3 linked regions of the Arabidopsis thaliana genome follow. The protein of the gene in region 2 interacts with the protein of the main gene of each other region in a biochemical or structural test. Each region holds a gene or a part of one and is shown on either strand. Other genes may lie near its edges. The genes, in order: LKP2, PRR5 and ZTL.

What was found.
Region 1: the proteins of PRR5 (region 2) and LKP2 form a complex in vitro, tested with the Arabidopsis thaliana proteins (one study listed by BioGRID).
Region 3: the proteins of PRR5 (region 2) and ZTL form a complex in vitro, tested with the Arabidopsis thaliana proteins (3 studies listed by BioGRID).

Annotation. Positions count from the first base shown.
Region 1 is NC_003071.7:8,195,802-8,199,557, forward strand, and holds the start of LKP2 (LOV KELCH protein 2), read right to left. Parts: upstream 1,683-3,756; 5' UTR 1,455-1,682; coding exon 1,210-1,454; intron 582-1,209; coding exon 1-581. Other genes in the region: AT2G18920 (uncharacterized protein), read right to left, coding at 1,952-2,359.
Region 2 is NC_003076.8:8,356,500-8,360,255, forward strand, and holds the start of PRR5 (two-component response regulator-like protein), read right to left. Parts: upstream 2,048-3,756; coding exon 1,822-2,047; intron 1,567-1,821; coding exon 1,405-1,566; intron 1,326-1,404; coding exon 1,195-1,325; intron 1,040-1,194; coding exon 585-1,039; intron 492-584; coding exon 1-491. UniProt on the Arabidopsis thaliana protein: Transcriptional repressor of CCA1 and LHY, thereby controlling photoperiodic flowering response. Involved in the positive and negative feedback loops of the circadian clock. With RVE8, forms a negative feedback loop of the circadian clock.
Region 3 is NC_003076.8:23,239,427-23,243,182, reverse strand, and holds the start of ZTL (Galactose oxidase/kelch repeat superfamily protein), read right to left. Parts: upstream 1,757-3,756; 5' UTR 1,587-1,756; coding exon 1,342-1,586; intron 512-1,341; coding exon 1-511. UniProt on the Arabidopsis thaliana protein: Component of an E3 ubiquitin ligase complex that plays a central role in blue light-dependent circadian cycles.

The sequences.
Region 1 (3,756 bases), on a different chromosome or scaffold from region 2:
GAGTGGTGAACTCTCGGGCCAGTCGCACCCAACCAATCCTTTTTGCACCGGGAACACTCTCAAGAACACGTGTTGCCTCGGTACCCCATGTGTTTTGACAGACCATTCTCCACACATCATCATTCTTTGTCAACTCATTGAGCCGCCTACATACACAACCAACCGATGCAATATCACCAGGAGTCAACTGTGACAATATCTTGATAGCTATTACTTCATCACTCAGTTCGAATATCCCACAGAGTCCACGAGAAACATTACGCTCTCCGATTGGTAAAGCAGAAGTAAATGAGCGAGATATTCTAGGAATTTCTTTTGCAGATAAATCAGGAGATGGGCCAAGATCAATTTTTGCATCTGTAAATAAGAGAACGCCTATGAAATGAGTGATTTCGTCTTCTTCACGGATAGGGACTAGACGCAGCTTGTTCATCAAGGGAGATCCATCTTTCCGAAAGTTGAGCAACTCGCCTTGAAACTCGATGCCATTTTCTAGACATTGTCGCATCTTCGCTACAATTGTAGAATCTACCATTGGATGCCTTCTTTTAGTAAATGGCCCTCTACATTGCAAGAAACGGCTGCCAAATAAAAAACAACAGCACAAATCAGATACAAGACCCTCCTATTCAATTCATCGAATAGATAACTAACAACTAAACAGATACAGTACTTTGGCGAACAATTCCTCACACACAAGTATTGAACAAAGACTAAACTATATGCATAATTAACATGGAATACCAGATCAAAAGCCGCTAAAACCCAAGAGAAACATATTCAACAGAAACATATATACTTAGACAAAAACGCATTACAATTCAATATTACAAAAATCAATAATCCCAAGGCTTTCATAAACCAATCAAGACATGTGAAAAACTATCAAAGTTCGAGTTCCTAAACACTAATCCACAGACATAGGAAACATTACAAACTGAACCTCACATTATAGCTTAGTTCCTCCACAACAAACTTCTAATTCAATAACCAACCCATGATTCCAAAATGGTTCTAGCTAATAATACCTAACATAATCAACAAGAACCATAATAATGAATCGAAATATAAATTTCTTTCTGTCAAAACAGCTTTCAACAAAGCTTTCTAGTAACATCGTACCAATACCACAAATGAGACAAAATTCGCTACAGTAAAACAAAATCAACACCACAAATTTAGGGTAAAAGTCAAGAAGAGCAAACTCACCAATTTCGACCAATAACTTCTTCAGCTCGATAACCAGTAACAATCTCAAAAACAGTGTTAACATAAATGATAGGGTTGTCAGGTTCAAGAGCATCGCTGACCACAAACCCACACGGCGCCGTGCCAGGAAGACTACCTACCGGAAACGGAATCGCTCCGTTATCTCCACCGAACCATCCATCCTCCGCCACTTCATCTCCACCGCTGAGATCGGAATCACTATCCCACTCCATTTGATTTTGCATACACACCCACAAAATAAAGCTTAAGCCCACTAATCTTCTTCCTCAGCAACAGGAGAAGAGACCCAGAAGAACAAAGTTTGATTTTGAATCGAGGAATCTGATATCTGTAGGTAATCGAAGTCTCCACAGGAAAAAAGTTCCAAACTTTAGACAAACCCAGAAATCGTCTTCTTCAGGAACAGGAGATAGAAGAACAGATTTTGAAATGGAATCGAGCGAAGAAAAGAGGAATCTGATATTTGTAGGTAATGGAAGTCTCCACCGCCCACTTCTAAGAGGAGGAGAAGAAGAAGAAGAGAGATGATTCGGTCGGTCGATGACTCGGCTCTTCTCAGTGCCTCTCCTTTTCCATCTTTAACCAGACCGGTTTCTTAATTTTACCTTACCGGTTTAGTTTATCTATCCGGTTTACACAAAATATCCTGTAAGTTTCTTATGAGATTTTTTTGGTTTTACCAAATGAGTGTATTAGAATCAGTTTTATTGATTTAAAAACATTAGAAACTTGAATTTATCATGAAACCATTGCATCCAAAACCCAATTCTTGCTCATCGAAACGTTCTCCGTCTTTGCTGAATCCAGTAATAGCTTCAAGCCAATCAATATTTTCCTCTTCTTCTAGAGCAACAAAAGCCGATGCATAGTTGGCTTGAGCAAGACATCGTACTGCAGCCCGCCAGAATGGTGTACGCTTCGGGACATCAAGACGTCTAAGAGCGTTAATAACATCTTGATACAAAAGTACAACACCCCGTCTTTCACGATACTCCGTAATAAAGTTTCCACTATTTTCGATCACGCTTTCAATGATAGACCTTCTTCGAGGTTGCCTTGCACGTCTAGAAGAAGTTTGTACACTGTTACGTGTTTGTGTTACGCCTTGGTTTTGGGTGGTGTCTGCCATATAATCTTGTGTGTTTAGAGGGTAGACATCATCTTCAACTATCCTAAAAGACGCTTTATGCAAATGGAAGAAGGCTTTTACTAAAGGTCAAACCACATTTTTCTGCGGTTTTGTCTTTGCTCTGCAAGTAAAGTTTTTATGTGAAACAAAAACTAATTATGTTGATGTTGATTATTTGTATAATGTTAATTGTTTTTTATTTTTTCGTGTAGGTATTTGCATTAGAGCGATTTACTATCTTTCAACAACTATTTCCATCCAGTTTTCCTTTAATGGTTGAGTGGGCAAAGATATATAAACCGTATACCAAAAATTGTGCCAACAGAAGTGGGGGACACTATCAAGAGATGCTTGTAGACATGAAGGAAGATGAGGTACCTAACAAAATTTCATCTCTTTGTCATATGCATTTGTTCTATATTAAATACTTAGATTATATTTTTTCAGATTAAGTGGCAGCCATATAGCAAAGTTATATTGCCCAAGGAATACACCTCTCAATTGAGTATGGTATTTGCACATGTTCCATGCATCTGCTTTAACACCATCGCATACAACCGAACTATTTGGGAGAGCCACTAAATAGTTTTCCGATTAGGAATGACGAGACCTTGGAGATGGGAGAGCCACCAAACAAGTGGAATGAAAGCAATAGATGGGTTGACCATTCACATGTCACTGAGGTGGTCGAGACTTTGCCGGAGAAAACCAGTAAATCGGCTGATGCAAATGTGAATTGTCTTTTTTTTTTTTTTCTAATACAAATGAATTTGGTTCTCACTTTACTTGATTTAACAGCTGGAGTCCTTGGATGAAAATCACAAGGAAGCGAATGAAGAGGAGGGAGCGAATGAAACGATGGGAGTGAATGAACAAGAGGGAGCGAATGAAACAGTTAGTCATTCTCAATAATACAAATGAATTTGGTTTTGTAACATATACTCTAGGATATTAGAAAACTAAATATTAATAACTGGCAGGAAAGAAGTGATCTTCGACTTCTTAAAAGAGGAAGAGACGAACTACTTAGAAGTGAAGGAAAATTAAAACCAACCGATAGATGTACTCCATCTTTTTCGCACCAGAAACATGCAGGGGAACAAGAAACAAAAATTCCGCTTGATAGCCTCGTTTCCTCCAAAATCGATAGGCCACGCTTGTTTCTTGATAGCCTCCAAAATCTATCATCTCCTCGATTTTGGAGGAAACGAGGCTATCAAGCGTAATTTTTGTTTCTTGTTCCCCTCCATGTTTCTGGTGCGAGAAGATGGAGTAAATCTATCTGTTAGTATTTTATCTCTTCCTCTTTTAAGAAGTCAAAGATCGCTTCTTTCCTGCCAGTTATTAATATTTAGTTTCCTAATATCTTAGAGTATATGTTACAAAACCAAATTCAT
Region 2 (3,756 bases):
CAATAAGCTGATCAATGTGATTGCCTATTGCACTATGTTCGGTTGCAGAAGAGACGTATCTCCTCTCATCTACATCCATGGAACAATCCCGGTCTTGTAACCCCTCGGGTTTACTGTTGAATGGGTGAAACATGGAACTGTACTCATGCGGGCTAACGGAACTAGGGCTTGGGGAGAGTGAAGCAGGAGCCATTGCAGATGTATAAGCTGTGTTGGGATCTCTGAACTGTATATTGTTGATAGGGGTTGGCGTAGGGTATGAACTCTGTCCCGGCCAAGAATTCAGCTGATTACTAAACGGTGGACCAGGTGAGTCAGCTCCAGTGTAAAAGCTGGTGTCGTTTCTTCTTGGAGCATTTGGAGGCGGTTCAGATGTATTGTATTGGTTCATTAGCACAATGTTATCATCTTGACTTGCTGCAACATTCTTTCTTTGATCAGTAACCACTGGGGAGGCTGAACATTGTGTCTGCAACGGCCTGTGAACGTACCTGCAACAAGAACATAACACACACAATCAGCAGAAAGAACGACAACTATTGAACGATTAATAGAAAGAAGAATTGAGAAATTAGACAACTCACCGTGTGAAAGCTGAGGCACTAGAAGGATGAAGAGAAGGCCGGTCTCCAGAAGATTGGTTCTCAGAAGCATTAGGTCTTCTCAGAGAAAGATCAAGCTCTATCCGAGATTCGTATTGAGCAACACTTTCTTCTCTGTTACGTCGTCCAGTTCTTCTAAACGATGCTCCCATGAAGTCAATGGCTTCTGCTTGCTTACTCTGCAACTCATTTGCTAGAAGCCGTGTCTCATTAAACTGAGACTTTGCGCACTCCATCTGTACTGCGTCTCTCGCACTAACCTCCACGTCTGCGCTCTCACCTTCCATCTCTGGTCTTGTACACGAGCTCTGGGCATCACCACCATTCCCACTCACAACATGATCGTCTCTCTTTCCGTTCGAGTTGTTTGCAGACGCACCCTCGGCTTTCTGCTGTCCAACACTCTCATTCCATGGAAAGCTATCAGGAGCAAGTGACTGTAAAAGATAATCAAAACCAAAAACAAATCTGAGAACTCAATCATCTTTTCAAGACAACGAAATTTCCCAGAACTTATATAAGAACGGGTTTAAGTTGTAGAGATAATTCATCACACATAAAGCTTAAAACAAAAGATGGATATGAAACATACAGTTTGTCTTCTCCAGACATGCTGCCAAAGATTTCTAAGCTCATTCCTCCTCAACGGCTTAACAAGATAATCAGCCGCACCTTTCAACATACACTTATACACAGTATTCACCGAGTCCTGTGTCGACATCACTGGAAAAAAAAACAATACATAATGAGCCAAAAAATCATTTCAAAACGATGGAAGAAAAAGATGTATATATCAACGTACTTATAACAGGAATGTTCTTGCAAATATCATGCTCCATGATAAGTGTTAGCAGAGCATATCCAGATATTGAAGGTAGATCAACCTCTGTTAATATCAAATCAACACTTTCAGGCTTTCCTTTTAGCATCTCCCAAGCTTTTAAGCCATCAGGTACTGCAGCAACTGATCAATACACAAAACCAAACCACATTAATACAAATCCTTTTAGCTTGTTGTAGAAACTAAGCGTTGATAAAGATTTCTATATGAACACAAAACCGACAAAAAAATCGTTGACTTTTCTAAATTTGACTTTGAATTGTAACATTTAGCCGCACGCGAATCAGATTCAAAACATTAGCATCTCAATCGAATTCATAATTCTCAGATTCTATACAAACAAAACCTAAATCTCAAGCATTGAAACCAGAAACTAACCTCTGTAACTACATTTCCTGAGAAGAGCAGCGATAATCTGTCTAGTAGAATCATCAGCTTCAACGAGCAAAACTCTAAGCGCGATTTTCGGGAGAAATCTCTCCCACTTCACCAAACCATCAACACCGGCGTCTTTCTTCCGAATCTTCCGACGTGATAACTTTCCTCCGCCAGCTTCAGGTGCTTTAACCACCGTCACTTCAACTACTTCCTCGCTACTAGTCATTATCACAACACAAACACTTAGCTTTGAAAAACCTAAATCGATTATTGAAGAAGAAGAAGAAAGCTCCAGAGAAAGAGAAACAGTTACAAAACAAATCAAAATATTTGTGAGTGGAGAGATAAATGAGAAGAGAGCAAAAAAAAGAACTTTATTCTTTCTATAATAGTGTGGAGAAAAGAAAATATCTAGAAAAAATCTAGCGAATGTTTTAACGGTTATGATTGAAAGTGGGTGGCGAACCGACCATGATCTAACGGTTGTGGAAAGAGTATTTGGATTTGAAAAAATATCTAGTAGAATTGGCTGACGTGGCCACGTTTGCCACATCAGCAAAATACTGTATACGAGACAAAAGAGATCCAATACGCCAAATAACCTTCTTTTAAGAAAAAATTGGTGTGGTGGCTAGCCTTTGGTTTTTCTATGTGGTTCATATTTAAAGTTGGATTTAATTTTTTATTATACTTTACCAAAATATTTATTGCAATTGATGTTTATGTATTTGTGATGGAGAAATATTTAGTGAATTTCTTGTTTATTTTTCTTTTAATAAGAGATCAACACTAAACATTGAAACTATTACTTATTTGATGCTTCTAAATTTTACTTTTATTTTAAAATGTATTTTATATTATTGTTCAGACATTTTAGCTTTTGAGTACCTATAAAAATCCCACTCGTGACTTTTGGGATAATACCAAACCCAAAAAATATCTAATGCTAGTGGGAAAAAGTATCTATACAAATTTATCCAAAAACAATTGTATTATTTTCTGTTTGGTACATAGGTTTGCAATTTGTTTATTTTAAAAACAATAAGGATATTTCAATTTTTTTTCACATAAGAAAATCAAGGACACATGGTATAATTTATTTTCTGAAATAACAAATAAGAACTTTTTGTTAATGAATTAATTATACATATATTTCAATATTATTTTTTGGCACAAAAAACATTTGCTTACACCAAATGATCACTGGTGCTAACTAATAGCAAATGTCATATATTATTTTATATTTTTTCGGCCAGCCATATATTTTAGTCACGAAATAAGAACACTTTAATATTGATTTGCATTAGAAAAGAAATGGAACAATCAAACAAATGAATATCGATCATAGAGATTCATAGTTTACCAAATTTTTATCAACATTTTGGTTTTTTCTATTGCTACTATTTTGGTTGCGTGGTGGAATAAATCAAATGGAACATGCACGAGTCAAGAGTAGGGACAAAGGGTGATGAATTTTAAAGTAATTTTCCGCGGCTAGATATTTTGTTGTTGGGTGGGATTAGATTAGAGACACTTGTTTAAAAACCTCGTGGTTCTTTGGTGGATAGGAATATGACACGTGTATGGTTATTATCTGACACAGTCTTTCACCTTTAAATGGTAGCTGTCACTGTCAGAGACTAAATATCTTCTTTTTTCCTTGTCTCTTTACGCGCCCGCGAGTGTAATATATCTCTCCTACTCGCTCTCTTGTAACAAGAGTCTTGTCCTACGCTATGACTTTCTTTTTTATTGACTGGACCCTATGGTTTTCTTCTCTTAATCAAACTTAGTAAACTACTAGGTAATAAAAAAGGACAATTAGTGTAATGATCAATCAAACAAATGAAGAAAATGGTTAATAATAAGCCAGGTGGTTTAGTTCCTTGTACTAGCACTTCATGCGTTAAACTGAGAAATAGGTTTAGGCCGGCG
Region 3 (3,756 bases), about 15 Mb from region 2:
CCGTGTTGTTTCACTTCCCCATGCATTCTGACAAACCCTTCGCCAAAGATCCTCATTCTTTGTCAGCACATATAGCCTGCGGCACACAGAGCTAACAGATGCAACGTCTCTTGGTGTCAGGCGTGACAATATCTTCATAGACACAACCTCGTCACTCAGCTGGAATAACCCACACATTCCTCGGGAAACATTCCGCTCCCCAGCAGCTAAAGCTGAGTATATCCCATCAATTGACTTTTCTTTTGTTGAAGATCCAAGAACAGGTCCAAGGTCAATGTCTGTCTCGATAAAGAACTGGATTCCAATTATATGGGTAATAGTATCATCGTCTCCATAAATAGGAGTCAACCGCAATCTATTCATCAACGGAGATCCATCTTTCCTAAAGTTCAACAACTCGCCTTGAAATTCAATGCCCTCATCAATACATTTTCTTATCTCGGAAACAACCATAGAGTCAACTAATGGATGCCTTCTTTTAGCAAACGGTCCTCTACATTGCAAGAAGCGGCTGCAGAATCCGAGAAATTAATTAAGAAACAATATAAGACCAAAAACAAAATTTATCTCCAACTTACTGATGCGGAAAAGCAATAGACAAAATATTTGGCCGTGCATGTAGAGACTGAAAAAAAAAACAAATACACCAAACAAGCATAATTATAACCTAACCAGATTTTCATTCTGTTCAAGAATAACAACTATTTGAACTGATCAGCTCCTCCTGTAAGATCAAAGCTTATTAATAAAGGAAGCTACTAGCACTTCTCTCATGGAAAACTAACACACAACTAAACGCATTGGACTTAGCCTTTTCACTGGTTCACTGCACATCAACATTGTAAAGAATTTATTGTGTTCGCTACGACCCCGAGAAACTACACAGGGATAGCTCGCTTTATCTCGGCATCTATATACACTTTCAAGTTTCCTTAACATGCGGAGCAGCTGAAACAGCTCAAAAACAGCCATGAGAGCTCGATTAATATGAAAACTACAATCACTGAATAAACATCTGAAGGCAGAGAATACTTAGGCACACACAGAGACTCCACTGAGTCTTCTCTGCCATTTGGCAGAGACTCTAATGATTATCTAACAATAGACATATCTTTGTTTTCTCTCCACCAAAGTATCCATCCATACTAAATCTAGTGATCAATAGAGTGTCCTTCAGATTACCATCATCACAAACATTCCTCACCTATCCTCAAACTAAACGGACCTTAATCAAACTCCACCAAGTAGCCAAAATTTGGTAAAGTGAGCCAATAACCAAAAATAGAAATTCCTCGCATCAATTAGAACACTAATCACAAAGATAACAAAAAAACAACTAACCAATTTCCTCCGAGAACTTCCTCAGCACGATACCCTGTAACCATTTCGAAGACGGTGTTGACATATATAATAGGTTGGTCCGGCTCAACGGCATCAGTAACAACGAATCCACAAGGCGCCGTGTGAAGCAAATTCCCAACGGGATATGGAATTGGTCCACCTCCGGGAAAAAGACCTCCCTCTTCATCATCCGCCAGTGACGAAGCATCATCGGCGCTTAGATCGGAACCACTGTCCCACTCCATGAAAATTCAAATAGTTACCAGACTGATTTCAGTCGCCGGAGATTATGAAGACGGCGATTGAAAAACAATCCGGCGTGAGATAATCGGAAAATTTTGGGAAAAGGAGATTTTCGGGGGTTGAGAGAGAGAGAGAGAGAAGATGGTGGACAAAGAAACGAGTGGTAACCGTCGAGTTTGGTGGAAAAATCTCGGCCGTATGAGTTCATTCGAACGGGTCGGATTTTATCCGGGTCCGGATTTCTCTGTCGGGTCAAGTAGATAAAACCATAAAACTCCCCTTGATTTTTGGGAAAAATGTCATTAAAATCTCCAACTTATTGAAAAAGTTGATTTAAATTATCAACTTCCAACTAAACGAAATAAATATCAAATTTTTGTTGACTTTCCAAATAAATACCAAACTTTCGTATATATGGTCATATTAGGTATAATATTAAGTAGATTAACATATTGCGTTCACGGAGTTAATTTTCTGTTAACAGATCCGTTAATTTAAAACGTTATTGTTTCCTATAACAAGAAAGCGACCTCGTTTTATTATAACGACCGAATTAAATTCCCAAATCCAATCTTAAATCTCCAAATCAAGCAAAATTCTAACCCTAAATCTTCATATGATTTGAAATTGGGATTTAATTGAGCATTTATGACATAACGACGTTGTTTTATTGTTATAGGGAATATTGTCGTTTTCAATTAACGAGTCTGTTAACAAAAAATGGACTCTAATAACAGGGTCTGTTAATGTCATACTTAATATGGCTACTCGAACAAAAGTTTGATATTTATTTGGAAAGTCAACCAAAATTTGGTATTTATTTGGAAAATCAACAAAAGTTTGATATTTATTTCGTTTCGTTGGAAGTTGAGGATTTAAATCAACTTTTTCAATAAGTTGGGGATTTTAATGACATTTTTCCCTTTGGTTTTTAGACTCTCTTTAGCTGAGCTGAAGCTTATTACTTTCCAAATTTGTGGGCTCATGTCTTACAATAAAGCCCATTACAATAAAGCCCATTATAGTCCAGTAAATGAGATTATGTGACTGAATAGTATGAGTTTCGTAATAAGAAGACGCCATAAAATGGAAAAATAGCAAGATCTATAATTATAGTTACGTAAATGAAAATTTGTTAAGGTTGTTGGTTGCTAAATCTTTTCTTGAACCGTCTCAATTATCAATTGCCTATCATTTAATCTCTTCTGTAATGTTCCTTTTATACGCAGAGGACCAAACTAGTTACATCAAATCAATAGATAGTTAGTTGAAACAAATAACTTCTCGTAACTACTGGTTAATCGAATCGGTTCGGTATATCATAGAATCATAGGTGCAAACAGACTTTTAAACCAACATCAAACAGCTGAATTGGAATTAAGATTTAACCCAACTTTAGTGTTTTATATCAACAATAATAAGAATAAGTTGTAAGTACTTATATATAAGTAGTTAAGTACTGTTTTATATCACCAATAATAAGACTGTTTTATAAGCCTAAGTTACCGATATGGGGCAACTATCTTATGAACTTTATTTGAAGGTTATTATCTCATGAAATGAATTGACATACTCAATTTAACAAAACAGGCTTACCTCGTGTTATTAATTATAAGTTTCGTATAAAAATAATAAAATTGATAGTAAAAGTTAAAACAAAATGGAGAAATTGTTTGTAATGATGCTAAATACAATTTTTTTGTATTATATTTCCCTTACAAAGTAGCAAATTGGTCAAAATTCTTCGTCACCTCTTTCTTTTTTCCGACATTCTTCACCTCGTTCTGTAAAACTACTAAGTAAGTAACTAATACAATGCCATACGACTAAACAATATCTTCGCAAATAAAAAGAAAAAGAAAATATTTCTTTTAAATTATGGTATTTAGTTTTTAACAAAAATATAAAATATAGCGATTTACATTTGTATTACTGATATAAATAGATCATATAATTTTGACATTAAAGACTTTAGAAAAATTATAATTGTAAATATTTTTTTTGTGTATGACAATTTAACACATAAAAAGGACGTGAGAGAACAAGTGGGTTTGGTCGGTTGTTTTCTTTACACTTTGCAAAATTCTCTATTCATTCATATCTTCGACGAGATGCTAAAATGCCCCCACTATAAAATTCCTTTTTCTTTATACAAATTTTGAAAGAAAAAAA